3 linked regions of the Alligator mississippiensis genome follow. The protein of the gene in region 1 interacts with the protein of each later gene in a biochemical or structural test. Links are inferred from orthologs where the notes say so. Each region holds a gene or a part of one and is shown in the gene's direction. Other genes may lie near its edges.

The links.
Region 2: the proteins of ANAPC2 (region 1) and UBE2S form a complex in vitro, tested with the Homo sapiens proteins (3 studies listed by BioGRID and IntAct). The link is inferred for Alligator mississippiensis from reciprocal best matches to the Homo sapiens genes ANAPC2 and UBE2S.
Region 3: the proteins of ANAPC2 (region 1) and PTTG1 form a complex in vitro, tested with the Homo sapiens proteins (2 studies listed by BioGRID, with this or other methods). The link is inferred for Alligator mississippiensis from reciprocal best matches to the Homo sapiens genes ANAPC2 and PTTG1.

Annotation. Positions count from the first base shown.
Region 1 is NC_081835.1:47,568,183-47,578,184, reverse strand, and holds the start of ANAPC2 (anaphase-promoting complex subunit 2), read left to right. Parts: upstream 1-4,614; 5' UTR 4,615-4,630; coding exon 4,631-4,717; intron 4,718-5,529; coding exon 5,530-6,152; intron 6,153-9,550; coding exon 9,551-9,683; intron 9,684-10,002. Other genes in the region: microtubule nucleation factor SSNA1, read right to left, coding at 533-634, 4,191-4,390, 4,488-4,539. UniProt on the Homo sapiens protein: Together with the RING-H2 protein ANAPC11, constitutes the catalytic component of the anaphase promoting complex/cyclosome (APC/C), a cell cycle-regulated E3 ubiquitin ligase that controls progression through mitosis and the G1 phase of the cell cycle.
Region 2 is NC_081828.1:74,781,321-74,790,584, reverse strand, and holds the start of UBE2S (ubiquitin-conjugating enzyme E2 S), read left to right. Parts: upstream 1-4,978; 5' UTR 4,979-5,141; coding exon 5,142-5,144; intron 5,145-8,584; coding exon 8,585-8,732; intron 8,733-9,264. UniProt on the Homo sapiens protein: Accepts ubiquitin from the E1 complex and catalyzes its covalent attachment to other proteins. Catalyzes 'Lys-11'-linked polyubiquitination.
Region 3 is NC_081832.1:59,019,699-59,030,052, reverse strand, and holds the start of PTTG1 (securin), read left to right. Parts: upstream 1-5,954; 5' UTR 5,955-6,036; exon of another isoform or gene 6,037-6,100; intron 6,101-6,358; exon of another isoform or gene 6,359-6,617; intron 6,618-8,493; 5' UTR 8,494-8,512; coding exon 8,513-8,594; intron 8,595-8,981; coding exon 8,982-9,157; intron 9,158-9,610; coding exon 9,611-9,707; intron 9,708-10,354. Other genes in the region: pre-mRNA-splicing factor SLU7, read right to left, coding at 675-839, 1,758-1,838, 3,707-3,860, 4,991-5,154. UniProt on the Homo sapiens protein: Regulatory protein, which plays a central role in chromosome stability, in the p53/TP53 pathway, and DNA repair. Probably acts by blocking the action of key proteins.

The DNA of each region.
Region 1 (10,002 bases):
ACCCAGCCAGGCAGGCACTTCCATGGAGATAAACCACTCCTGTACAAAGAAGTCCTTTCTATCTGCTCTACTGCTCCCTTGGCAGAGTTGACTACAAACAGCACAAGGACCAGGTTTCTGCACCTTGTTTCCTAATGAGTGCTACTGCACTACACTGGCTCCTGGGAGATGAGCTCTTCTCTACATTGGGTAAGCATATAGGCTTCAAACTGCTCTTGCCAAAATGAAGCATCTTTCTCTCAGAAGGGGAAAGCACTAAATTGCTGAGTTTCCTTTCTCCCTCAGGCTGGGCTGTGCACAGCTGCTGCTTGGCATTCTGGCTGAACTCTAATGGCATTTGCTACTGACCTTTGCTAAGTGAAGGTCAAATTTTACTTTTCTTCACCTTGTGCCAAGGCCCTTCTGAAAGGAAAACACACTTGTGCAAAATGAAGATTTTACTGGACATTGTTTCCTCTACATATACCAAAATGATAGCAGCTCCTCTCAGTCCAAGAAGAGAGAGACTTTAGGAATGTGTGAGTCCATGTGCTCAGCTCTCTTTTACAACACTGCCTTTTGGCTCTGTGGCTCTGCTCAGATTCCCCGCTTCCTTCTTTAGGACATTTAGCAGTGTCTGGGAACTTTCCAGGATCTAAGGGGGAAAGAAAAAGAAGTTACTTACCTCCTACACAAACTCTCTCATCACAGGCTGCTCTTAAATTAACCATTCAACTGAGTCCTTTATAGTCAAGAGGAATTTTCTACCACTGCAGTCTTTAAAACTTCTAGGAAGAGCAAGCTAGTGGTTTGATGCTGGAATTGTTAGGGAAGGGTTATTTTGCCTGTGTTTTGGAGGAAGTCAAATGGAATGATTGCAATGGCCATTTATTAATATTCACAGATGTTAAGGCTGGGAGGGACCATTGTGGCTTCCTACCGGAGAACCTCCCCCTGTGACTCCTGCATTAAACCAGCAACAAGGGGATGAACAGGAGGTTTTTTAGAAAGATGCACAAATCCTTGATTTAAGGATGCCAAGTGACAGAATCTGTCACATCCCATGGTCAGCTGCTAAGTACTCTCACTACTAAAAAAAGTGTACCAGGCTTTTGGATTATGTTCCGCCTTGTCTGCTCCAGTGAAGGGCACTCTGCTAAATCTTTTCCCTAGCCAGATATTTTGTCTCAAGTTCTCTCTCACTTTTCTCTTTATTATAAGTTCCTTAGTCTTTTGCAAGCTAGGATTTCCAGAGCTTGGATCATTCTTGTAACTCTCTTCTGATGACTTTCCTGTACGTGGACATTTTTTTCTTGGTACGGAGGAGGCAATACTCAGTAGTTGTCTCACTGATGCTGTACACAAGGGCAATACCATCTCTACCTCAACTCAGCTTTCACAGGAACATATGGCTAAGGCTTGCATTAGATCTGTTAGGCACAGCACTGGGCTAGTACACATTCAGCCAGTTCCCACCGTGGCCAATAGGGCTGTGCAAAGCTTCGGGTGGTGATTTGATTCAGAGGAGATTTGGCCCGATTCAGTGGCCCAATCACTGAATCTGAATTGAATCAGGGGACCAATTAACATTAAAGGTCTGAATCAATTCAAAGCTCTCCAAATCTCCTTGGAAGAGCCCCCCCACGTGGCATAGGGCAGCAGGGATTGCCCCGCCAGCAGGAAGGTGAGTCTGGGGTTTTTCTCATTTTTTTTTTTCTTCTTAAAGGGCCAGAACCACAGCGAGTAGAGCAGCCACAGGGAAGCTGGGGGGCAAAGGGGGGCAGAGGTTTCGTGCAGAGCCCCCCACGGGGCAGTGGGGAGCAGTGGGGATTGCTTCCCCAACTGGCAGCACCTGCTGAGTCGGGGCTTCTTTTTTTTCAAAATGCCGGGAGCTGGGGTGGGCTGGGAGAGCGGACAGGGGATGGGCCTGGGCCATTCAGAGATTTGACAGGAGCCAAATCTCTGAATCGATTTCGGGCAAATCAATTCGGGACAGTGATTCAAATCACCAAATCGAAACACTGTCCCCCGAATTGGCCAAATCCGAAGCGAATGCTGGCCACTTCACACAGGCCTAATGGCCAATAACGAATGCTCTTTCATGGCTTGCCAGTGAGACCTGTTTTTTAATTTCTACATAAATAAACTTGTATCTGGCAGCTGCATGGGTCTTGGACCCCCATGGGATTTTGCAGTTTACTTATCCCTCCTTCCTGCCAGAGTAGCAGTACCTGCTTGACCCACTTTCTGCAGACACTATCCTCTTTGCCCCACAACCCACATATCTGGAAAGGGAAATGTCTCCTTGCCCTGCTACATAGTTTTTCCAAGCTCCATTCGTTACACTCATACACTAAGTACTAAGGGACTAAAGCACAGTTCACACACAAGCCACAACATGATTGTGCCGTGACAACTGCAAGTGCCATGAGCTTTTCACACCCTTCCAGTCTTCCCATAACTCAAACATGGCAACACTGGAGAAACAATGCAAGGCAGCGCTTCTGCCATGACAACGCAACAGCCTTAAGGGTTCCCCTGGGGACAACACAGAGCTTACTCCTCCCAAAGCTCTTTGTCCCTTGTGATCTAGGACAGTGGTTCTCTACCTTTTTTGGACAAGGACCCATTTGTAAACATCAATGGCCAGGCCCAACCCACTGCCCCCCACCCCCAGGCCCCCAGTACGTGGGGCATGGGGGCCCCTAAGTAGCCCCTTGGAAGCTGGAACTCTGCCAGTCTGCAAGGGAAGAGCCTCGGTTTTCCACGTTTTTCTCCTCTAAAAGAGAATCCATTTTTTAAGTTTGTTGATCAATTTTTAAAGTTTGTTCACAACCCTTTTATATAGTCTTGTGACCAACTTTTGGGTCACAACCAACAGAGTGAGAAACACTGATCTAGGACAATCAGCAGCAAATGCTCTCTGAAGCCATAATGCTGCCTTGAGCACAGTGAAGGTCACTATGATCAGTAGTCCTCATCTAAAGAGGGGAAGGCTCAGAGGAGATAAGAGATTAAGAATGGGTAAGCTACTAAGAGTCGTGCCTGGAAGGCCACTGGGAGAGGGGCGAGGCAAACATAGAGAGAAAGACAGACCCCAGCACAAAATCCCACAGCAGTGAAGACAAGTTCAAGTTTCTTCTTCCTCCACTATTTTGATTTCCTTCACAACCCTTATTATTGACCATGATCCATGCTTGTACCCTGGGCTAGACAGAACCATTAATTCCTGGTAACTGTGGGTCTTCAAGAATTGACTCTCTACATTCACAGTTGTGAGACAGCACTCCCTAGGGTGAGCTCACAAGATCCTCCTCTAAGCCCTGTCCATTACAAGATGCCCAAGTACCCTTTAGCTGACTGAGCCATTTGGTGCACAAGGCTAAAGAAGGGATGCACAGCTACACTTGCTGCTGCCAGCTCTTCTTGACAGTGTGCCGAATTATGGCTATCTACAGCGGGGGTGGCCAACCTACGGCACGAGTACTGCAAGTTGCATGGGCATCCTTTGTGCGGCCTGTGCCGGCGGAGGGGTCAGGCAGCACAGCAGTAGATGGAGCAGGGAGCAGATCAGACTGGGATCACAAAGCAGAGAGCTGGCTGAAAGCAGAGGAAGAGACTGGGCACTGGGAGCAAAGGGCAGGGAGCAGAAGGCAGAGCTGCAGATAGGGCAGGGAAAGGGGATCAGTGACACCCAGGGAGGGCACGGGGCTAATCTGCGGCATAAGAAAGGTTGGCCCCGCACTACTCTAGAGCAGCGGCTCTCCAGGCCGGCCTGTCCTACCCTGCGGCCAAGGGGCCGTGCCCGCTTGCCGCCTGCGCCACCCTGAAAGGGCTCCATGCAGGCAGGGAGCCCCTTCCCCGCCCAGCCCCACTCCCGCCCCAGCCCCCCGCACCCACCTCGCAGCCCGGCCCATTTCATTTCAGCCAGTTTCTACCGCAGCTGTGATTTTCCCACGGATGGGGGGGCCCCAAAACTACATGCTGCAGCCCCCCCAGAATATCACGGTGCTTCTCAACCTTTTTTGTACCAGGCCCCATTTGTAAACATCAGTGGCCCGTCCCGACCCGGCGCCCTCTCCCCAGGCCGGGACCCCGGCGTGCGGGGCGGGCTGCAAAGGGAAAGTCCCCAGGTGCCGCTTCTGCAGGAGGAGGCGTGTTTGCAGCCGGCTCAGGGCGGTTTCCCGCGCCCCGCGGGGCCGAGGCGCTACCTTGCCGTAGGCCGCCTCGGTCTCGGCGATGGTGCGCTCGAACTCGTTGCGCGTGGCCATCTTGCGGGCCAGCCCCTCGTTGAGGCGGGCCAGGCGCTCGGTCAGCAGCCGGATGTCGCTCTGCAGCTTGCCCTTCTCCTCCTCCTCGCGCGCGATCTGCCGGCCCAGCTCGTCCCGCCGCGCGCACAGCTCCTCGATGCCTGCGCCACACGGGGGGCACGGCGCTCAGCGCCCGCGGCCCCCGCCACCGCCGCGCCGCGCCCCGGCCCCAGCCCCAGCCCCGCACCCGGCCCTCACACTTGACCAGCTCGTTGTTGTAGCTCTGCAGCGCCGCCCCCTGCTGCGCCATCGCCGCCCCGGCCCCGGCCCCGGCCCCGCGCCACCAACGGCCTCCTGCGCCCGCGCCGCCCCGCCCCGTCCCGCCCCGCTCCGCTCGGCCCATGGCGGCGGCGGCCCCCGGCGCGGGGCTCTCGGCGGGCTGGCACGCGCTGGGCGCCGGCCTCGTGCCGCCCGCCGCGCTGGGGCTGGTGAGTGCGGGCCGGGGGGCGGCGGAGCGCAGCCCCGCTCCTTCCCCGCGCCTGGTCTCGGGGGTTTTGTTTTGAGCCCCGCCGGGCGGCTGTGGGGCGATGCCCCGGCTCCCAGAGAGGGGCGAGCGGGCCCGCAGGCCTCGAGGGGGCGGGGGGGCGCAGTCTCTTGGGGCCTGGGGATGTCTTAGGAAAAGGCCCCTTGCGGCAAGTCACAGCTCCCAGCGTTGACATTTGTCACGGGATTTCCGCGGGGGCGCGAGGGGGGCGCGTAGCAGGTGCGCGCGCGGTCGTCTCCGACGTGGCCGCCGTTCCGGCCTCCTGCTCACGGGTACGTAAGGAGGGTGCCCCACTCCTTGTGCTCTGTAATCGCCCTCGAAGTGCAGCGATGCCGTGGAAGGCCTCGCCCTGACGGCCCTGGCGCAGGACATCCTCGTGTGCTGGCTCAGGCTGGAGAGAGCCTGGCAGTGGCCCGTGACCCGCAGAGGGGATGGAGCGGGGCCCGTTCGGGTCACGGCTCCCATGTCAGCTGGGGATGCAGTCGGCATTAATACCACAACAGCAGTCGCCCTTGTGATGTGAACAGCGACCCATTAGGAGTGGGGCTGAGACCTCCGCCCCTCTGCCCAGGAGGGATGCCGGATGCCAGTTAGTTGGTAGCTTTCAGTCCCTGCTATGCCCTACTGTGGACAAGAGCAAAGGGTCGGCTGGTGAGTGGCTCCATCTGTAGACTGCCCCCTGAGTCCGGTTGTCTCTCCAGCCTCAGTCACCCTTCAGGAGTCCCTGCTTTCGTTTACCTTGGTGTCTCTCTCTAGGCAGCACCCAGGTCTGGACCAGTGGAACCGCTGAAGGACAGCGACTTGCAGGCCGCTTTGGAAGTGCTGCGGAGCTATGACTTGCACTGTGTCATAGAGGAATGGTTCATTCAAGTTTTACAGACAGATCTTCAGACAAATATAGCTCCTGAATTCTGGAACTGCATTGGCCAGTATGAAAACACAGCTGAGGAGCCCCAGTGCTCCTTACTCCTCCTGGATGCTTTTTGTCTGCTCAAGTGCCGCCTAGACCCTTATCTAAACAGTCTAGATCTTCTGGAAAAATGGACCAAAGCAGGCTTGCTCCTTGGAACGGGTTCCCAGATGCTACGAGAGAAAGTGTACACCATGTTTAAAGCCATCCTCTTCTTCTCCACTACAAAGACCTTCCAGGAGATGATCCAGCAGTTCTACAGCCGCACCTTCAGGATATATATGCAGCAGTGGAAGAAAGGAGAAGATGGAATGAATGAGTGTGAGAGCAGTATGAGTGAAAATGATCAAGAGAGTGATACAGAAGAGGGAGGAGGAGACAGCCAGCAGTGTGCAGGCTGCAACAGTAAGAAAGACCAGTGCTGGTGTCCCACAGCCATGGAGCAATTTCAGCAGCTCAGTGAGATCCTGTATGTATCCTGGAGGGAGGGAGGAAAGGGATTTGTTGGACAGAATCAATATACCATTTAGAAAGTAGACTGTCTACAGGCCTGTCATGGGTATGAAAGTCAGAAAGGTCCATCCTAACCTAGTCTGCTTCTTGCAAGGCATTGTCCAGAAAATCTTGCCCAGTGATTTCTGCATCTAGCCCATAACCTGTGGCTGAGCTACAGCAGATCTTTGACAAACAGGAGAGTGGTCCTGGTAACTGCTGTGAGATTATCACCTCCCTTTAGGCTTGTATTCCCTTTGGGGACAATGATTCTAGGCGAAATATTTTCTTTTCCCCAGATGCTAAAGATCTTGAACCTGCTGTTGTGGTTCAGTGGTTGAATCCTTGTCTGCCACATGAGAGACCTGGATTTGATTCTTGGATGCACCTATAACTACAGCTGTCGAGGCACCAAATGTCCATACTGTCTGGCCTTTGGATACTGTCTCAATGGGCTAAAGGGGGAATAGAAGGTCTGGGCACCCCCCCACTTCTCCATACTTGTAGCCAAATGCATTGAAGGTCCTTGTGACCTCTTGCGCATACACTGGGATCCAGAAGGGTCCACGTTTGCCTACTAAAGATCTTGAAGAAGTTGGCCAAATTTCAAGGTACTAAATAGTGCACACATACCCTGCGTGTGTAGTGTGGCCTCGTTAATGCTTCTGTTGGGACCTTAAGGATGATATGTAAGAGGCACTACATAAGGCCTGAACAGGAGTTTAGAAAATATTTGCTTGTTTTTCCATTAGAAAGCAGTTCTTATCTGCAGTGTGTTAGCTAGAGGATATTACAAGCAACTGGAGAGCTCGTGTGAATATAACCAGGGATCCGGGTTTTCCGTTTCCCATGGAAAAACAGAAAAATGCAGTTTCCCCCTTTACCCAAGGAAAACATGGATTTTTCATTTTAATGGAGAAACCCACAGATTTTGCACTTTTGCAAAGAGCTCTCTGCAGGCTGGTAGAGTTCCAGCCTGCAAGGGGCTGGGGGGAGCAGCAGGAGGGTGCTCAGGCAGGGGGTGTCATGTGTATGTATACACACATGGCCACCAGGCAGCCTGGAGAGCTGCTCTGCAGGTAGGTCTGGCAGCAGCAGGGGCAGGGAAGAGCGGAGGGGGATTGAAGCCCCCATAGGGAAGGGGGGAGTTGGGTGGGGGTGAGGCTGGGGCTGAAGCTGTTGCCCAGCCAGGAGGGTGTGTGGGGTGTGTGGCCTGGGGTCAGAACGCGCAGCTTCAGGGCCCTGGCGAGAAGCGGGACAGGGCCTGTGGGCACTTCGTTCAGGGGGTGGGGCCAGCTCCCCACCACTGTGCGCGCTCCTTGCAAGACAGGAGGCTCCCATACCCCCCAGATCTGTGCTCAGGGTAGGGGATTTGGGCAGGGGCGGGCTGCCTGCTGTGGGCTTGGGTTCCCCACCCTGCTGCCCTCCCCTGGGACCTCCACAGCCTGGTGGGTGTGATCCAGCAGGGCAGGGCAGGGCAGAGCAGGGCCTCGTGGGGAAGTTCGTTGCTGCTGAGAGCTCCACACTGCCCTGGCAAGGCATCCCCTGCCCACATGGCAGCAAAGAGGGGTACAACCCTACACCACTGCCCTCGTTGCTGCCATGCAGGCAGGGGGTGCCTTGCCAGGGCAGCCCAGAGCTTGCAGCAGCAGTGAGCTTCCGTGTGTAGCCCCGCTCTTTTTTGCCACACTGGGTCACACCTGCTGGGCTGCGGAGAGCCTGGGGGGGGGCAGTAGGGTGGGGAGCCCAAGCCCGCAGCAGGCAGCCCATCCCTGCGCCATGCACAGATCAGGGGGCACGAGTGAGCGCAGCGATGGGTAGCTGGCCCCACCCAAGCCCACAGCTGGCAGGGGAGGGGGTGTGCTCCGCTTCACTCCGCTGCAGCAGCTGCCACCTCCTGTGGGTGGCAGCTGGGGCTGTGGAGCTGCTGCAAGGGGCAGAGCGCTGCGGACCTGGACCCCTGGCCCTGTAACCCTGCCAGCTGGGGGCCCACTCTGGTATGGCTAGGGGGGCAGGGGGCTGTGGGTGGGGGGTGAGGGACACCAGCAGGGCTGGGGGAGCTGTGCGGAGGAGTGAGGGGCACTGGCAAGGTCCAGCGGGCTGTGGGTGAGCATTGAGGAGCACCAGCAGGGCTGGGGGGGCTGTGGCTTGGGAGTGAGGGACCTGGACCTGTGTTCTGTGAGCTAAGGGGGCAGAGGGAGCTCTGATTTTCCATGATAACCCAAAATCAAATACCAAAATTTATAGGTGTTTAGAACTTATTTAATTATAATGATTGAGGCACAGGTAGGCTTCCAAATTCCTTTAAATGATAAATATTATCAAGAAAGTATTGTGTTCAACTGATACCTCTCTCTCGCTCTCTCTCTCTCTCTCTCTATTAGTGCCCTTTCATTTTAATCATGGAGTTTTAATAAGAAATTTTGCGGGTTTTTTATCAGACAATTTGCAGGTTTTTTTATTGGGGAAAACCAGGATCCCTGGATATAAAACAGCAAGCAAAAGTGGATCCTGAACTCTGGAAAGGTTCAGGGATTCCTATTCTGTTTAAAACCTCTGGCTTTTTATTTTTTATATCAACTTTATACAAGCTCCAGATAGTCCCTTTGCTGAAAATCTAGCCCTCCTCTCTTTACTTGAGGGGTGAGAGCTATCTCTCCAGTTCTCCAATCCATCAGCATGGACTGGAAGCAATGGCTTATGATTTTGTATGTCCTGAAGATTACTCCTAAAGAGTAAACCTGTTTATGCACTTGCTTTGCAGGTGATGTTTGACTCCTAGGTTTTTTTTCCTTCTTGCATAGCTGCAATCTGGGGCCCAATAGTAGCATGTGCTATGAACACGTAACACAAATAGCCGAAATTAAAATGTACCTGGAACTGTTAAACATTTAGCTCTTTACAATATCATATGTTAGAAATAAATGAAATGTTTAAAGCTATGACTCCTTACTTCCTCTGCACTGCTTGAAAAATCTTTGAAAAAGCAGTGTGTTTGTAAGTTTTTGGAAAGGAGTTTCTTTCCTGCCTAGATCTTGCAAAATGCTTATGCTCTTTAATTAGTCCTAGCTGATTAATTATTGATGATATAAATTTGGGTCCAGTTGCCTCATTTTTATTTTTGCTTCCTATTGGATGACAATCCTCCCCAAATAGCCATCCTGCTGACTGAGAAAAACCAATTCTCTTCACAGACTAGAAGCCAGGTGATCCAGCTAGAAATGTACACCATGACGGTTGCCCTGAAGTAGACACACAATTTTACCCTCTTCTAGGTGGGGATCATCTTCCCTTCTTCCCAGGCTCCATTATTAGGCATTTGCTTTGTGCTTTTCTCTGTGTGCTGTAAACGAAGCCCCCTCTCTATATCTGCAGCCACAGGCTGAACCTGTTGGAAAGGGTGAGTTCTGATGCTGTGACAACTATCCTGCACAAGATGATTGAGGAGAGGATGGAGCGGAGATGCAGGGGTGAATACGAGCGCTCTTTTCTGAACGAGTTCCAGGAGGTAAGCCCCACACTGACTAGGGACTGTCACTAAGGCAACATGTGCCCACTTCAGTTGCAAGTTAAAGAGGCTTATTTTCATATCAGCTTATTTGGAAAAGGCCTTGTCTGATCATCCAGGATCCCCAGTGGCTGGTAGAAGAGATAGCGAAAGCTCTGCATTTCTGTTTAAAGCCAGAAAGCACCATTAGATTATCTAACCCAGGGGTAGGCAGCCCCCAGCACATGTGCCAGTGTGGCTTGTGAAGGCATTTTGCTTGGCATGCACATCTTGGGGTGGATGGTAGGGAAGTAGCCAGGGCTGTACTACCACAACAAAG
Region 2 (9,264 bases), on another chromosome or scaffold:
GCTCACAGCTGGCAGAAGCTGCACTGACATGCTAGTGAGCTCAGAGAGCTTGCTGAGCCTGTGACACACAGTGGAAGGAGGGGTGTAACTGCACTGCCACATTCTCCCTGGATCCGGCACTGGAAGTGTTGATGAACCAACCATGATTTGTCACTCACTATTTTTCTTTCACCAGTTGCAATCCATTCAGTCCTTACCATTAATTATAGGCCATTTGCTAATAATTTCTTGCTATGATGAACCAACCACTGCTCAGTATTCACTACTCACTAATAATTATCTGTCACTTCTTAAAAGGAATTTCTATAATCTATACAGTCTCTATTACTACTCAGTATAATGAATGACCCAATCACTCTTTGTAATCCAATCCTATTTATTCACACATCACAATTCATTATTCTGTACTTACCATTACTGGTAATTGTTTGTCACTTTCTACTCATCAGGAACCAATTAGGAATCTCCAGTCACCATCCACCATTAATTAGGTGGCAACTTCCACTCATTTTTACCTATTACAGTTTATTCCACTCACCAAACCTAAAGCATCATTCACTACCCACTGTTCTTTCCTATCATATTTCTATCCTGTGGTCACTACAATTCCCTGTTCCCTACTCCTAGTCCCCACCCTTTCCTTACTTGACTCACTGGGTGTATCTATACAAGACGCTAACTGTGCTGTAGCCTAATAACACTGTGCAGTAGCCTTCCAGGCAGAAACTGCGCTAATATGCTACTGCACAGTAGTAGTAGGCTACTGCACAGTAAGCATCACTAAAAACTGGTGCACCAGCACTACCGTGCAGTAGTGCAAGTTACTGAGCATTGATTTAGTACTTGGGGTTAACCAAGTACTAAACTTAATGTGCTGTAACTACGGCGCATTAATAAACGTGTAGACATGCCTAGTGGTCTTTATAACTGCCCACCATGGCTTCATCACTCTTGGCTGTTTCAGTTGTCTATCCAAGATTGCAGTGGTATTAGGTTTGGCCTGAGACTCCATTTGCTTTGCTGGACAGGCTGTTGGATGCCATTCCTGGGTGATAATTTTCACTCTCCAACAATCACTGATGGCCATGGGCTGTGGTCTCAGGAGCCTGTCAGGTCTTCTTGTGACTTTGCCATTGTCTGCCCTTTAGGGACTTTTGTTCCTCATTCCCCATTCATTGCATGTGATTCACTATTCACTGCTCATTGTTTGCTGATGTTTGCACTCTATAGCACATTATTTAAGTTACCCCTGGTGTCTTGTCATTTACAAGTTATTAACACCCTTTCACCAGTCAGTGTATATGGCTTGTTCACAAGTCACTCACCCCCATAGACCAGTCACTAGCTCCTGTTCACCAGTCAGTAGCACCTACCTGTTCATGGCTTGCTGTTCATTCACAGCAAATTACCACTCAACTGCTCTTTGCTTTCCTCTATCCCTTCTCTTCCTTTGACAAGCCCAGTGCAGTTGCTGCATCTAAATCAGGAAGGCACATAAGGGCCTTCCTGCCTGGCAGGGAGCCAGCATGATCCACATGAGAGCTTACCCCAGGCCACAGCATGCAGACCATTCTTCATGAGCAAGCCCTTGGGTTCAGACAAATCCACACTAGGGAAGGAGTTTGCTAAATCCCAGGGAGGTAAATTCTTAGCAACAATGTTCCAAACATGTCCAGCAGTAAAAGGCCCCAGGGACCAAATGGTTTAGCTGATACACACTTGCACTCCACTGCATGCTTCCCTGGTATGACAGAAAAGAGCTCACACCCCCCTGCAGTATGGTGCTCTTTGCTGAGCCCCCTGTTCCACTCCCCATTCTAAGGTATCACCCAACCTTCCCACCCCATTCCACACCCCATGGCATAAGTCCCCTGTCCCTTTTCCTGCAGCACAGCACCCTCTACTAACCTACCTGGTGCTTCCTGAAACCCTTGCCTGGTCCCACAACACCTCCTCCCTGTAGCTGGGGCATCAGGATTGTTCATACCCACTGGGGACCAGGCTCTTTTTTGCATCTTCCAAAGGTGCTTGCTGGGCACAGTTGCCTAGACCTTCGACTTCCCTTCAGGGCCTGTGGAAAAGCAAGGGTCAGGATGGAGACACAGGCCCATCTTGCCCAGCCCCTGGTCTCCATGAGTGGGCAGCCCCTGCAGCCTAAGCAAAAGGGACTAGGGTGTCCCCAGTGGGCAGTGTTGAGGGGATCCCTTCTCATCCCTCACCCCTGATGTTGGATGACTTATCATTTCCTCCCCTTTCCTGCATCGGCTCACGTGCCTTATGGTTAGGGCCGTCCCTGGGGGGAAGGCAGGGGTGGTAAATCAGGGTGACCAACCTGGGTCGTGCGTTTTGGGGGGCCCTGCGCAGTGCCATACAGGCCCTGCCGCCTTCTGCAGGTGGTTGCCACCTCCCTCCCCTCTGCTGCCGCTGGCTTCTGTGGGCGGTTGCCATCCCCCTTCCTGCCCCACTGGTGATGCTGCCACTGGCTACTGCGGGCAGTTACCACCCCGACCCTCCGGCCCCACACAGGCTGATATGCCCTGGACTCCGCACACCACTAGGGACAGCTCTGCTTATGGCCACCCTCAGTGGCCCCCTGCCTCATCTAGACAGGGCAAAGCAGAGTCTGGAAATGCCCTGCTCCCCCTGAGGCAGCTCCCAGAAGCCATTGGGAAGGCAGGGTCAGCTGTGGGCAGGAGGACAATTCCTATGCTAGACAAGCAGAGGACAGTGCCCCACTACACAAACGCACGCATATGAACACTCAGGCATGCACATAAACGGATTTGCATGCATAGGCTGAATTAGGCTCATGTAGGGTAGTGTCCACACAAGTACGTGTGTGTAAATGCAAACACACGAACGTGCATGCAATTTAAATCTACCAGTATGGGGTAGTGTTCATACGCACACTCTCATGCACATGCACACAAACCCAAGAATCTAGCCAGTATAGGGCAGTTTCCACAAACAAGCACATAGACATGTACATAATCTGAATCTAGCCAGTCTGGACCAGCATCTGCACACACACACACACACACACACACACACACACACACACACACACACACACAATAGTAGGGGGGAGTGCCACACACACACTACCAGGGGGTAGTTTGGATCAGCATCTGCACACACACACACAACCAGGGGTACTGCCACACAAACCAGCAAGGGGTGGTGCCACACTGGCACTCAATCTTCCTCCCCAAGTCCAGACTGTATGGAACAGGGTGCCACTGACCCCTCAGCTCCTCCATGTACTCTGTGCTGCTATGAAAACATTCACGCTGCCAGCCCTGCACTGCACAGAGATTTGCCGGTGTCAGAAACAATTCAGGTAAATCCACACGAACTGACACGCAGAAAAAATCACACCACAAAGCAAGTGTGGGAGAGGAGCACAGAGCAGGCCAGGCGAAGGGCACCAAGCTTGACCCACAGGACAGGGACACACAGCGTGTCTGAACAAGTACTAGAGGCTGTTCTGCAAGTCCCTGGAATTGCTGTAACCCTGTTTTTTGAATAAACTGATGTTTCCTGCTACTGGCCTCCGTATTCATTGACAGTGGCACTGAGATACAGACCCATCTGGGGTGGGGCATGTCTGAGGCTGGTGACACAATAGTGTGCGAGTGGAAGCACGGGCTGAAGCTGGCCCACCTGGGATGCACATAGCCTGGGCACAGGCTCCAATCCCTAAGGTCATAGGGTTGCCAACTCTGAAGCTATTCCATTTTTTTTTCCCCAACATGATATCAGTAATTGTACTGCTCAAACCATTAACAATATCAATTTCCCCGATTGCTTTCAATAGTCACTGGGAAATCTATGCCGATTTTGGTAGACTCCTGGCCAAGCTGGGAGGGTTGGCAACCCTATAAGGTCACAGGAATCAGCAAAACGCCCACCCTGTGGGCTTACAGCTGGAAGGAAACAATGTAAACCCTGACCTCACTCTCCCCTGCTGTGAGTGTGGGTGCCCCCCATCCTCAGCCCTGCTCTTTGGGTATCTTTCCCAGACCCTGGGCTCCAGCCCTGCCCCCTCAGGCCTTCGTGCCTGGCCCCGTGGGATGCACAGACAGGAAGGGGTGACATCCCCCAAATCAACTCGCCCCCACAGCTGGGGCACCCCAGGGAACAGCCTGAGGACAGGAAAGCTCATAGCTCACACCCCGCGGGGCACCAGTGCCAGGGGCGGGGCCGGGCTAACCCTAAGGTTCCCGCCTCCCCTCCCCCTTGCACTGACACTCCAGTTCCCGAGCCCGCAACTACAGCAATGAGGGGGGGGAGCGCTCCGAATCCTCATCCCTGAATGGCTGCCCAGCCTGTCCATTCTCATGCGTGAAGGAAGTACCTCCCCGCCCCCTCTCCCCTTTCCGCCCCCAAGGGCCTATTCCCCGCCCCTGTGTGGAAACGGCCCTCAATGGGAGCCCCCCCCCGGACTCGTCCGTTCCTATTGGCTCGCCCACCTGGCGATCGAGCATTTCAAACCTCCGCCCCGCCCCCTGCCTGCAACCGTTGGGGTAAACAGCTTTCCCCCCACCTTCCCTTCCGCTCTTCTCGCCTCCCTCCTCCCCTTCAACCGCCGCCTCGCGAGGTTCGTATTCAAATCCCTCCAATCGGCCCGCTGGCTCCGCCCCCCGTCTCACTCTCTATTGGCTTTCGCCCGTCGCGGACGTTTGTTGTCAACGTCCTCTCGGGGACAGGGGGTGGGAGGGGGCGACCCACTCCGTTCCACCAGGCTTGATTGGGCGGCCGGGATTCGGAGGGGGCGTGGCCGGCCGGGGCCAAAGGCTATAAAGTCCTTTGCTGGGCAATCGCCAGCCTCAGTGCAGAGGGTGGGAGACGGCTGGAGAGCTGCCAGAAGGGGCGGCCTTGTCCGGGGAGGGTGGGCCGGACGAGGTGGAGGACAGGGGGCAGCCCAGCCCAGTGTGGGGGAGGGCGTTAGTGGGATTGGGGGGGCTTGGTGGGCACAGGTGGGGAGGGGGGGGCCTGGGAGGAGACCCTGCCTCTCCCCACCCAGTGCACAGGGGACTCTGTACGGTGCTGGGCTGCCCCTGTGCACTTTGGGGGGGCCTGTCAGTCTAGGGGGGTGAGGGACCCCCGGTCTCTGCCAACTTCCAGCCAGACCCACCACCATGGTGAGTGGCTCTCGATCCCTTTCTCTCTACATCTCCTTAGTGCCCACCCACCAGGTTACAGGGTGGCCCTTGGGTGGGTGGAGCTGGTTGCACCCCCGTGTTAAGAGGGGCCTCACTTTAACCTCTTCTCGGGGTGGGCAGGTGGGTAGGCCCTATGGAGCAGGGACCTGTGTGTTGGTGGTGGTCATAGCAGCTGTAATGTGATGCTAGGCCTGGTGGCTGTTGGGGTGTGGGGGAGGAGCATGTACATTTTGGGGTGTTTGATTCCTCTTCGATATACAGACTCAGAGGATGGCCTAACAGTAACTCTGTGTGTGTGTGTGTGGGGGGGGGGGGTGCGGGGTGTTCCTGGCAGCCCTTGGTCTGCTGCTTGGTTTGGGGCGTGGGAATCTGCTGTCCTGGGCTATCGTTATTTACCAATAACAGAGCAACCCCAGCCCTTTTATATGGTTTTGGGGGTGAAAGGGGTGTTGGTGAAAGTTGAGTCCATTTAAACAAACTAAGGAAGCTTTAACAGGCCTTATCTGGAGGTGAAAGTTGACTCGGGTTTTTTGTTTTCCATCTGTGAGAATGGCTGCCTCCTTTAAAAAGCTGCTGTTCCACTGCTAGCTTGAAAGTGGCTATAGAGTGGGTTGGCTGCTTGTTTTGGTTCTTTTTTTTCTTGTTTTGTGAAGCTTAGAAAAACCACAGGGGCCAGTTTTTTCCTCTGCTGGGCCCAACTTTGCTGCAGTCTAAGTGGGGGATTCTGCTCAAATGTCTCAAATCCCTGTAAAAATGAGGTCGTGGGTAGTGCAGTAATCTGTGAGTCCAGGCGGGGGTCAGGTCCCCTGCAAGAGAGACTCTAGCAAGTAGCTGGGGAAGTGTTTTTCCTTCCAAGGCCTTGCCTAGCTCCTACAGTTGCTGTTTTATTATCTTTTTTTTGGTGCAGTTTTTTCCTTTTGGATGTTCCAAAAAAAAAATGATTGGAGATGTCCAGTTTTTCAGAGGTGAATCGGAGACCCAGAAGGTGGCCCCCTTAGTCCAGTGCCTGGGCTAGTAGATTTTTTACACTGCTCTTGCAAACTTTAGGAGGTTGGTTTGTGGCACATGTACATGAAACTCCTTTTTTCACTCTTGGTGGGCACATGGCAAGTTAGCGAGCGTCTGAAAGGCTGTCAGATCAGCATGCAGCGGGGCTTTCAGTGGCCAGGTCCATGCCTGTAATGCCTGATTTTATTAATATTTTACTCTCATGGCATGTTTGCTTCTAGATGCAGCTGCAAACAAAAGCTGGGTTTTAAGATTTGAGGTGCTTCCAAGAGGCCTGAATTATTAAAATCTACATGGCCTTTAAAGCTCAGGCATCTGGAAATGGCCAGCTGCAGCTGAAGCATCATGGCCTAATTTCTTCCAGGTCTTAGGCCTCTGTTGTGGGGACAAGCACCTAGAGTGCGTGTATTTTTATGGTTGAAAAAGGCAGGAAAGTGGGAGATATTCATCCCCTCTGTATGGTGCTGACTTCCAGCTCCTTCCTGTTGGGGAAGGGACCAGTGGTTGAGCCCCAGGCCAGGCCCTTCCCCTTATGGGCCTAGTGGTAGAGAAAAGGGAATGGAGTGCAGCCGGAGCTCTTTAAGAGATCTCCTGATGCTCCAAGTGGCCCCTAGCTCTACTGCAGTCTTTTCTTGCCTTCTGGCATTTTCACAGGTCACCTGGGTTGGGGAACAAGGGGGTTTTGGAAGGGGAGGTTGTGGGGGAGGGGGGGAGGTTGGCAGGCTGTCACCACAGGAGTGTGTCAGTACTCAGGCCTGTGGTGGATGAACAGCAGCTGCTGGCCGAAACTTCTCTGCTGAGGCTTTGTTGGCTTTGCCGGAATCTCCTGTTTGATGTGGGAAGGGGGCTTCTGACTTGCCTTCTTCTCCCAAATGCTTTTTCAGAGGCTGGGGGATAGCTGAACTCTCCCTCCTCAAAGAGGACAGGCTGGGCTGTTTCTCTCACAGACCTGATCCAACAGATTAGGATTTGGGAGTCCTTGGAGTCTGAATCCTGGCTTAGTTGTAAAGAGGGGGTGGAATTTGGGGGTACAAGGTAGGTAAGGGAAGATGTGGAGGGAGAATGGGGGGGGTACTGGGGCTTCTTCCACCTGATGCTTGCTAGGGTCCATAGCCATAGGTCCTTTTCCTCTACCCCCTCCCTGAGTTATGACTGAGATGTGAGGGAGCTAGGTTGCTGGGGCAGGCCTGTAGCTGTGTGGGGCTGTCCAAGTGAGACTGCCTGATGGCAGGGCTCTGGTCCCATTTTCAACCCCCCGTCCCCCTCCATTCTGAACCATTCTGCACTGTTGAGTTCCCCTTCCCTGATCTGGAGCCTTGTCAGGGCCCCAGTTTTCAGCTGAGACTTTAGGGGAGTGTCAGATGTAAGGCAGACCGTTTGCTGAGATCAGTTGAGGCTTCCTGAGCCTGGGGAGCTTGCAGGAGACTGCTACCTGCAGCTTCCTTCCAGAAATAACTTGGGTGCCTTGGCATCAGGCAGGTGGGGGGATGTCCTCCTGTCCTCACTCACCAGTGTTCTCAGCTGCCACTATCTCATGGACTTGGCAGCAGTTAGTCTGGCATCTTGCTGGTTTTCTCCGTTGTGTTGTCCCAGTCCAGCTTGGGGGTTGACCAGTGTCATCTGCAGTGGGGGAGGGGTGGCTGTGGTTTTGATCAAGGTGATCAGAATCATTGAGCCTGATGTGTACCAATTACACTCCAAGGGACCTGGGATTTGCAAGAACAGCAGGTCTGGTGGGGAGTGGGGTGGGGAGGGAGGATTGGTGTAATCCCTTGCAGAGGTGCTGGATCCCAAATAGATGCCTGTGCATCCTCCACCTGGAAATCTCCAGGAAGGGAGGCTTCCCCAGGCTCTTGCTCCAGTGTCTGGACAACTTAGAACTAGGAAAGCATTCTACTGCAGTTGATTTCTACCCCTCCACCTCCTCCGGGCCACACAGCCAAGAGCTTCAGTCTTGCTTCATGGTACTTAGGCACTTGCCACTCTCAGGATGGATATGGGGCTTGGCCCTGTGCTTGCATGGACTCTGATCAATTGCTATACAATTGGCCTGGTTTCCCAGGCAGTTGGTGATATGGATCTCTGCTCCTTACAGCAGGTGCTGACTCTGGGATCTTGGCCTGACTGGCAGCACACATGGGCATAGCAGGGAGCTGGAGGGCATGGGGAACATGGTCCTTTACCAGTAAATGCCCACAGATGAGCAGCCCTGTGCATGCCAAGTGTGTAGAGATGGACACATCCTGTTTAGGGACTCTGTGCTGGGCATCTTGGGCATGTGGGATGGCAAGGGTGTCCAAGAATGGCTTGGGACACTTCAAGAGAGGGGCATAAGTTTTATAGTTGTCCTAGTGCAAGGTCACTGAGTACAGTCTCTGATGTACCTCCCCTGTTTGTTTTCACCCTTGTAGAACTCAAATGTGGAAAACCTGCCGCCCCATGTCATCCGCCTGGTCTATAAAGAGGTTTCCACGCTGACATCAGACCCACCTGAGGGCATCAAGGTCTTTCCCAATGAGGAGGACATCACAGATGTCCAGGTCACCATCGAAGGGCCTGGTGAGGCTCCAGGGGGAGGAGCGGTATACTGCCTGCAGGTTGTGGGGAGGGGCTGCCTTTCATCTTGGCTAGGAATCCCCTCTACTTACCATAGGGAGGAGTCAGGAGGGACTCTTCCCAGGGAGGAGGACGCCACAGGCAGCATCCAGCCCTGGCTTGTATTGGGCTTGACCCTATGCCTGACCTGATACGCACATGGGGGTGTGGGATGCTGTCATGTGGGGTGCCTTGCTGCCAACCTGATTCCTTGTGGGGGGAGGGGGAGCAAGACTGTACAAGGGATGAGGGCATCATGAGACGAGATACTCTAATTTCAATAGGAGATGCAGTTCTTCACTAGTAGCACTGTACTAAGGGGGGGGTCCCTGTATAACCAGCCCCTGATGTGCCCCACCACAGAGGCAGCTCTTAGTGCTGGGTGAGATTTCCTTCATCCTGTCAAGCCTGTATGAGGAACAGCAGGGGCCTGTTTTCATCCACACCCTCACCTCCCCCAACCCATGGGGTTGTTCCTGAATCCTTTATACGTGAG
Region 3 (10,354 bases), on another chromosome or scaffold:
GGGCTACTCCAACTGGGCTCTATGAACTGTGCGTGAATAAACTCCAGAACTGACTGCCCTGGAGTTAAATGCTCTTGGGCATAAGTTTAAATGGTACACCTGGGAACAAAAAATGTGCACCACTTGCACGTACAGAACTGGATTTTTAATTGTGCAAGTAGCAGCGTGATTTAATGACATTACAGAATAGATGATTAACAAAATAATTAGGAAGTAGAGTGAACAGGACATGAGACTAAGATGGGTAGACTAAGTAGCTTCTCCACTAAAAGGCCTTTAAATGAGACTACCAAATCTACTTCATGCTTCTGTATGGCACATGCATATACACAGTTAAGAAAGGCCACCTCTTCAAAAACAGTAATTACAAGACTAAGTAGCTTCTCCACTAAAATCAAACTTCTGTCACCCACAGTCCATCTCCATTTTAACTACTTTCAAAATGATACTCAGAAGTACTTGTAAACAACTCTGATCTGAGGCTCATTTACAGAGTGAACTAGAACACAATTCCCTGTTTTGAGTTTTCACTTCAGCAGGAGAAATTTGTGGAACCACCAGATATACACATATTCTACATCATGCAGTAGTGCTACAGAGTTCAGAAGGTTTAGTCAAAAGGGCTGTTTGGGGCTTAAAAACAACCACCCCGTCCAAATAAAATTTCTGCATACCAAGTCAACTTTAGAATATTCTTCTACAATCTTCATATGCTCTTCTGGGTTATAACCATTCCAACGATCTCTCTTCCCATCATAATCAAACATCAGTTGAGGCTGTATATGTTCATCTGGAGCAATGTTCATGCTTGTGTATTTTGCTCCTACTTTCCTGGGTCTCTGAAGGGAAATAAGCAACACCTTTGCACGCTGATGGTTTTGTAAGATGAAAGTTTAGTAAATTAGATTGTGTCTAATTTCCTGTAATCCTTTCACTGCTACCTCACAGTATTATAGCATACTGACAATGGAGGGCTAAAGAAAGAGCAAAAAAAAACTCAAAAAAGGGAAATGGGATTGTAGTCTACAAAACTGGGAAGGAGACTCAGATGCAAGGTACTTTTTACTTAAAGCCCCCTGCCCCCCCCCAAAAAAAACCCCAAACAAACCCCAAAACAAAACAACACAACACAGATTCATAGTTGTAGGGTTGGAAGGGACCTAAGTAGAACTTCAAGTCCGACCCCATGCTGTGGGCAGGAGAGAATACTGGGCTCATATGACCCCAGCTAGGTAACAATCAAGCCTCCTCTTAAAGTCTTCGCATCTGCACATACTCCAACAAATAAGATTTCAAGCTGATGTCACATGAATGGATATTAATGAGTAGTTTTAAAATATTATTATTGATTTTAATAGAACCAGAGCTAAAAAAAAAGCAATACAGCAGAACATGAACTAAAATTAAAAAAGTTACCAAAAAGAACTAAACAAATGACATAGAGGTGGCAGATGAGAGTTGTTTGAGTAAAGTGATCATTTTCTTATCTGTATCTGTTTTCACACACAAGGCTTGAGCTACAAATGTCCTCAGATATACCACACATTGAAATGTCTGTTAGTCTTTTAATGGTCTTCAAACAGCATGTTGAAGAGCTGAATTTCACAAATTCGAGTGAAAGTAAAGCATCAGTTTAATTTTAGTTAAAACTTAAGTTTTAGTTTGACAAATCTAAATCGATACCCTTTCAGTAGATATTTTCCATCATAACAGAACTGAGAGGAATGCTTTCCAGAAAAACTCAGACACCAAGTTACCTCTAGGCAGTCTTTCTTGTTGTGTGTCATTGCACCACAGTTCTCACAGGCCCCTTTGCGATATCTTGTTGCTAAAGCATTCTAAACATGAAAAAGCAAACATTATGTGAATGTAAAGTAGCATGACTGACCCACGATGCCAGTACTTAGCTTTGCCTAATCAAGAAAACAAGCCTAATTAAGTAAATGAAGCACAAGTACATACACCTGTATATACAAGATGAGCTAAAGCATTTACAGCAATTTCCAAATACCACAAACTATTTTGTAGAAGTTTTCCTCCTTCTTCCCTACTTAATCATGAATGTAGAGAAACCATAAAGAAAGATGCAATAGAACATAGGTTCCCAAACTGTGGTATGCATACCCCTGGAGGTACGCAAGACACATCTGGGAGGTATACAGAAGACATTAAGTAGTGGTGGATTTAATTTTCATTATAATAATAATTAATATTTAAGGGCTTAAAATATAAAATGTATACTGCCAGGGGTATGTAGGCAGCTGGTAAATCTGGAAGGGGGGTATGTAATAAGAAAATATTTAGGAACCTCTGCACTAGAAGTGACAGACAAAATTCCATTGAATCCAATGATGTCAGAGTAAGTTCCCAAAATTTTCTTCAGAATACAAACTGAATCCACATTGTTTTGTAGTTATTTAAAGTAATTACCAATAAAAAGGCTAATGGTTTCATTTAAGTTCCTAGAAGGAAGACAGCTATACCACCAAAAACTTACATCCTTGACAGGTTTTTGTAGCGAGACAGAGGATCAAATGGCAATAAATGCTAAGCTATACTGACTGTCTAGAGCAGGCTTGTCCAACATGCAGCCCACAGGCCGCCATTAAACCCACCAAGCCATTTTATTTGGTCCAAGGCGGTGGCGGCCATGCCGCTGTGGAGTGCAGAGCCGCAGTAGCAGAGCCATGGTGAGGCAGGCAGGGCTGGCCCACGGGCCCCAGCTAGCAGCGAGGGGAGGGGAGCAGACTGCCCCACGTGGGAAGCTAAGCAGCGGCCGCTGACACTGCCAGCCTGCGCTTGCCTCCTCACCCGCCCACTTCAAGCCAGCCCCGCTGCCCTGCCATACAGCAAGGCGGTGCCTGCTCCCCCAGCCAGTCTCCCCCTGGGCACTGTGGCTCTCCGGGCCCGGCTGCCCGTGCGCGAGGCCCCGAGGGGGTCGCTTCTCATGTGCTGCTGGGGACGGGAGGAGCCCGGCTGGGTCTGCACTGGCCAGAAGCGGCGGCAGAGCCGTGTGCCACTCGGGATCGGACAGGCCTACACCGGTCAGTCCCGAGCGGCACACGGCTCTGGCGCCGCTTCTGCTGGCCGGTGCGGACCTGGCCAGCCCCCTCCCGTCCCCAGCAGCACATGGGAAGCCGGCTTCAGCTGCATGCTGCTTTTCCTGGCTGGTGCTGACCCGGTTCTGCCCAGGCGGGTCCTGCAGCACCATGTCAACCCAGGCATAGCACTGGCAGGCTGGGCAGGCCCCAAGTCAACCCCAGCCTGGCCTCGTGGCTCCTGCAGCACCAGGTCAACCCGGTTGTAGCCAAGCAGCTCCTGCAGCACCAGGTCAACCCCTGCAACTTCACTGGTGTCAAAGGTCATGTGACATCACTTCCTGATATGATACCACTTCCTGTGATGTCTTTGAATATGGCTTGCCGGCCCACTGGGTGATAAAAAGTTCATGATCCGGACCCACATTCAAAAAGGTTGGACACTCCTGGTCTAGAGAGAGACCCAGAGGTTGAGCTGAAACCTAGCTGGTGCAATAGTTAGTGAAGCAAACTTTACCCAATACTAAAGTTACCCGAAGAGTGACTGGCTACGGTGAAACATGGCTTAAAAGAAACCACCACAATTCTGTCAAGAACACATTCTGCCCTTGGTCACAGGCGTTCCACAAGCCTCACCTTTGCTACACACCAAAAAGGTTTTTACTTACCTCTTGAACCCCTCGTTTATACCAGTCTCCAGATGTGCTAAACTGCTTCTGCTTCTCTGGCTGAGGTCTCTGGTGCTTTAGCGTAGGTCGTTTTGAAGGATCTATGTACCATGGCACTGAGGAGATGTACTGAGGAATATGAGGATTGATATCTCTGAGAAAGATTTTAAAAGAAAATGTTTAGACGTACAAATAATATAAACATGAACAGGAATCTTTTTTTTAAAAGAGCATTTTTTGTATTTAGTATAAATATTTTTGTAACAGGTGGTGTAGATATTGGTCTTCTCAATACACTGAACTGGTCTATACTTACCAAATTAAACAAACCATAATTCTCTTTACTTCGATCCATTTACTTGGGCTGAAATCCAGCCTCCAACCGAGTAACTTGACTTGGTATTATGAACAACATAGGATCTTAGGGAAAGAGTTATACTCCCCCCCTTCAGCAGTGAAAAAACTGAGCATCTCCATCTGGTGAAGGAGATGGAAGTAGAGGAAAGTGAAAGAACAATCTACATTATAACAAATCTTCTATCCGACCCCCCATCCACCACTAAAATGCCACATGGCTCCATTTATTACTGGCATCTCCACTTGCCATATACCAAATAAATGTTAATTCTGTGTAAAAGGAGTCTCTACCCTTGCTGAAGAGGAAGAGGATTTGGGTCTTAAAGAATAACTCACAAAGTTGATAAGTTACACTAAGCCACTGTTAGTGTAATTTTGCATGTTTCTTGAGATTTTCTTTGGCTATCAGCAGGGAGTAGAAATGTAAATATTGTTTTAAAAATTATCTTTTTAACCTCTTCTAATTATAATGGTTAAACAGTTAACCAATAACAGAGCTGCTGCTGGGAGCCACTCCTGGGGCCTTTTGGGTGGGTAATGCAGTGGCAAGCCCAGCCAGATAACACAGCCCAAATGAAGCTCCTAGGTTGGGAGGGAGGGAACAGCACCTGTGAATGAGCAGCTCACTGCTTAGTTGATAAGTCATTAAGCTGCCTGCTGTTTTCCTTTTTAACCTCCTAGGCTAGGGTACTACTCTCCGCCTCACACCTTCCCCTCCTCCTCCCTCCCCTGCAGCCTTCCAGGTCCTGCTGGGTCACTGCGTGGCTTCCTCGCCTCCCTTTCCCTGCCAGATGGGCGCACTAAACAACCAGTAAGCTAACCAGTTGTCACCGGGCTTACCAGTTAATTATTTACCTTTTAACATCCCTAGCAGAAATATTACAATTACATCCCATCGGTAACATTGAAGCCTTAAGTAAAACTTACTTTCCTTCCTCGTCTACTTCGGCTGGTGCATTACCCAGCTTTCTCTGTTCTTCTAGCTCCTTCTTCTTCCTCCAGTCCTCTCTTGTCATCTTCTTTGGCTCTTCCAAGCCCACATCATTCGAACCTCCCGGAGGAGTAGAGGCTATTACAGCCCCAGATGCCATGGTCTTTTCCCTTGCGAACACGTACAGACGTACTGAAAAGGACAATTTCCGGCATTATGAAAACTGAACAAAATCCATTTCAACCCGTTGTTTTACATCACTGCCCTTTACCTTTATCATTTACCTTTATTCACCGCGCTTAGCGCCTTCCAGCTTCCTAGTTACAATTCCCAAGAGAGAATTTTACCCCATGGCCTGGCTGGTCTGGACTGGGGGGAGAGGCTCCCTCTGTAGTGAGGCCTGGCCCCATTTTGGGGATTTCTTGGGGCCCGGCCTGCCCCACTCCTCCATGGGGGCACGATTCCACAAATGCCAACTCCCATGAGAAAAAAAAAATCACGATTTCCAAATGAAATGAACTCGGACTCGTGATCTCCTGATGGAGAGATCAACTCCCGGGACTTTTCCTTCTGACGCGTACAGACAGCGCCGAGGCGGTAGGTCGGGGGGGGGGGGGAGCGGAGGGGACTACGGCGCGGGGGAGAGCGGGGCCGGCACTGGCGTGACCGGGGCCCCAGGGCTGGGACGAGTCACGCAACGCAGCGACGCAACCTACCTGCCGGGCCGTGTTTACCCAACTAGGACTCGGCCTCTCCCACCGTGCACCGCGCGACGGCTCTAGCTCCGCCTTTTAAAGGCGTACGACCCCTGCGAAGGGATGGAGCCTCAGCCTCCTCCCGCAGCACTCGGGGCAGGCCGATGTCTCTGACGAGGTGTCGGCGGCAGGACCCAGCGGGGTGGCGTAACTGCGCATGCGCACACACAACTTCCGGTTGATGGCCGCTTTCGTGCTGGCGGCGACACGCCCCTCCCCTGGCGGAGCGGCCTGGCAGCCAATCGGGAGTCCGAGCGTTGGGGCCCGAGCGAAGCAGCCAATGGGAGGCAAGGTTGATGTTTAAAAGCGTTCCCGCTGATTGTATTGTGTAGAGATTAGTGAGTGTGTGGGGTAGGTTGTTTGTGATCTTGGGTGGGCTTCAACCGCCGCTGCATTGCCCTGGGGTCGGGTCGGGTCGGGTCGGGTCGGGTCGGGTCGGGTCGGGTCGGGTCGGGTCGGGTCGCCCGCGGGGCCGCGCCCAAGCTCGGGCGGACGCGCTGCCCCAGTGCAGGGCACGACGCCCGGTCATGCCTCAGGCTCCGCGGGCTGGGAGCGCGGCGCCTGTCCCGGGGCGACACTCGAGAGAGCTGCAGTGCCGGCGGGGAGGGAAGCGGGTAGCTCAGCGGTCAGGCAGAAGCCCCTAAGGCGGGTGGCAGCCTGCACTGCTCCAGCGCGAGGCTGGAAGCTTTGTCAACCTTTCCACAGCCGAGACCCCCAGCCCTAGTGTGCTGCCAGGCGAGAGGTTCACTGCTGACTAAATCGGACTGCTAAAGTTTAGGGGTGCATTGATAGAGTTTTTGGGGGCTGAAATTTAAGGGGGTATAGTGGTTGATACCAGTCTGATTTCTGATACAGCTGTCTCCAGGTGGTAAGTCCAGTGTGGTGGAAGGAGAGGAGCGTGCAAGGGGCAGATCAGAGCCCTTTGATGAGGGAGGAAGCAGGTGGGGGCAGGGGTGGGGGAGGTGCAGGATGAAGCCACGGCTTGTGGGGTGGGGGTGGCTCCTGCTGCTGCTTGCACTTCTTGAGGGGTGTGCCCCTAGATCTGCACAGTATGGGGCAGGCCACTGCTGTGGTATAGATGGCAGCTGGTATGGGGCAGGTGGCAGCTGGCACTGCATGGGACTCTTCTCAGTAGGGCCCTGGGCTTGGAGCAGGCTCCGGCAGTGCTGGGAAGAAGCTGAAGTCACCCCAAACTTTGCTGTGGCTCTGCTCCCAGCCCTGTGCCACCACCTGGCAGAGCCCTGGCTGAATGCCTCAGTTCCACCCAAGTGCTGGGAAAAGCCATGGTTGGGCTGGGTGGCAGCCCAGGACTGGGAGCAGAGCCATGGCAGGAGCTGCCCCCACCTCTGAGCTGTGCCTCTGTCCCATGTCCCCTTCCCTGCCCTGGCTGGGCCACACCTGCCCCCTCCCTTGCTGAAGGGGGCATTGATCTGTGTGGGCCCCCCCACCCCCAACACCCCTTCCTTCCCACTTCCCTTTCTGACTTGGCAGCTGGAGGCAGCTCTCCACACTGCCAGCTCTGCTCCGTGCTGTGGCTGCATGCAGCATGGGCATATATCAGCCCCATAAGGCTGATATCCAGTAGACAATTTTCTTCATGTTGGTACCAATCCAATATTGGACCAATGTATTGGTGCATCTCTACTAAAATTGAGTCAATTGCTTGTGACTTCCTAACTGAAAGCAGAAGGGACTTTAGCAGTTCAGTGCGTGTAACTAAGCAGCCTAGCTCAGTGGCTGTCAGCTGGGGTTATGCACACCCCTAGGAGTACTTAAAATATTCTAGACCTAGTGTGACTGAAAAATGCCACGTGCACACACAGAGCTGCAGCACAGCACATAGGTGGCCAAGAGAACAGCCAGTTCTGGCTGGTAAATATGTTGTGAGGGAATGGGCTGGGAGAAGGGGCAGATCGAGGCCCCAGTGGTGGGGGTGGGAGAGGAGCTGGGGTGGGATGCTAGACTGAGCTACATGGGAGCAGCTCCCATCTCTGCATGCACCCCAAGAGTGCATGGGGCAGGGGGACATGTGCCCCTGGATCTGTGTAGGTAGGGTGGGATGCTGCTACGGGCTGGGGTCAGGGTTGTGCTGGGCTGTTCTTGGCAGGGGCTGGGCTAGACTGTTCTGGTCAGGTGGTGGCAGTGCTGGGAGGGGCTGCAGCCACCCCAAAACTTGCCATAGCCCCCTTCTGCTGCTGCTGCCACCACCCACCCCCAGCACAGCCTGGTGCCAGTCCCACCCCATGTGCAGATCTGGGGACACGTGCCCTCCCAGGGGTGCACATAGTGGTGGGACCTGGGGTGAAGCATGGGATGGAGCTGCAGCTTCCCCAGGGGGAGGGTGTGGCAGCTCCTGCTACTGCGTGCACCTTGGGAGGGCATGGGGGTGTGTCCCTGGAGCTGCGCAATGTGGGACAGGATGCTGCTGTTGGGCTGTTCCTGGCAGGGCCTATGTTGGGCCATGCTCAGGGCAGGTGCCATCAAGTTGCAATGTATTTATATATAAACCTTTTTGAGTAGTACTCTTAAACAATATGGAGGTAAGAAGACCCAAGTCAACTTTCCAGAAAGATGGTATAACTGTGTAGATGCAATTTTCTTTTTTTTTTTTTTTTTTTGTCATGAGAGTATCTTCCAATGTACTTCTATATTAGCACTTTCATCATGCAGGTCTCAATTGTTGCATTTCTTGAACTGGGAGGAGGTATTATTATATTCTCATGTAGCTTTCTCTTATTTTTAAGTTGTTTCCATGATCTGAACATGGCAACCCTTATATTCATAGACCAGGAGAATGGAGAAGCTGGTGCTACTTCTAAGGATCGACTAAGATTGCCTTCAACTTGTGAGTGTGCACTTTTGCCTTTAAAAATTGAACATTTTAAAATAAACCAGGAATGTGCCTGGCTTGCTATTTCTGGCATGGGAGGTGTGGGAATTCTGAGTAATATAAGCAAACATGTAGACTCTTGTTGGAACCTGTTTTCATTGTTCTTCTGAGACCCTTTTCTCCTTCAAAGGCTTCCAGGGGGCTTTATCTTTTTACAGGCAGCCTTACTCTATTTGTGGGAGTGGAGTGACAAGGAAATAATTCTCCAAGGTTAAAACTTTATCCCTATGTAGAAGTCTTTTTTAACTGTAACTAGTTCCTCCTTCCTAGGCAGAAAGTACTGAAATGGCTCATAGTGGTATTTGCGAAGCATGTAAAGAATCTTAAAACTTTTCTCTGCAGCAGGAAAAGTTCTGTCTGAAAGGTCACAGGTGCAGACTCCCCATGTTAGAAAAACAATTAATGCAACTCCAGTCGCATCTAAGTCTCTCAGAAAGGCTCTAGGAGATGTGAACAGGACTCTGCAATCCACAAAAAAGAAGGAAACTTTAAAAACACAAAAGCAGCTTGTGACTAAGGTAAGTGCATGAGTCCTTAGCAGGAAGTAGATCCTTAAGTATGCTTAAGTCTCTGGTCCAAGGGATTAGGACAAGAGAGAAACATGTTTAGATATTGCTGCCCCCCCCATGTAGATGCAGGGGACAACATCCTTGCTGGCAGCCAGGTTGGGAAGAGTGACCCAAGAAGTCTGAGATCATGATCCACATGATATTTCTGACCTATGTAAAATGAGGTTGTCTTGTCCTATGACTCCACATATATTACTGGGGTCATATTACTGAACATAATCTTACAGCAAACTAGCAACCAAATTGACCACTGCCCTTGCCTTTTGATATATATTGGAGTTCCATAGCTGTGTGCATGAGCACAAACCCCTTGTCCAGTTTGCCTTTTAAAGTCATTACTTAAGAACCTAGCTAGTATCCCTTCAACTAATATATATTTTATTTTTATTTATTTATTTACAGAGTACTACTGAAAAGACCACTGAAGTGGGAAGTTGCAATGCAGTACCTGAAGAAACCTACCCAGAAATTGAAAACTTGTTTACCTACAACCCTCTAGGTAGGAACTCAGTAACACTAAGCTATCTGTCATTAATCTTAAATTGCCTAAAGTATATGCCTTGACTTTAAAGTAAAACAAGGTTAGCCTCAAAATCCAAGCCTTCAAATTATGTCCAATCTCTCTAAGGGCAGTGACCTGGATACCCTATGACCAGGTAGATGATGGACACTGCAGCTTTCACTTAAATACGTTATTTTCTCACATAACCCACACCTCTCTCTATCCCCCTCCCCCCCAAAACCAAACAAAAACCTAGCTGGGGAAGATAAAGGTGCACAGTATGTGAGGGGAAAGCCTCCCCATGGGTCTGGGAGGGGTGGGCTGAGGGGAAGGTTGAGACTTGGCCCCAGCAGTGTCAGTCTTAATTGTTGTGGGGGTTAGACCCAATATGCTCAGTCTGGGACTACAAGCTGGTACTGGGACAATGTACTGCGTCATACCTGGCATGCAACTGTGCCTCCCAGCCTTGGAAACCCCATACCTCAGATACCAGTGGTATGGTAAGATCTCTTTCCTTGTCCCTCTCTTGAAGATATGTTAGTGAGTTCATGAAACAAACACACTTTCAAAATGGTGTTTGGGGTCACTTACTGCCATCATGGCTATATCAAAGCTACTAGAACAGGGGTTGGCAACTCTTAGTA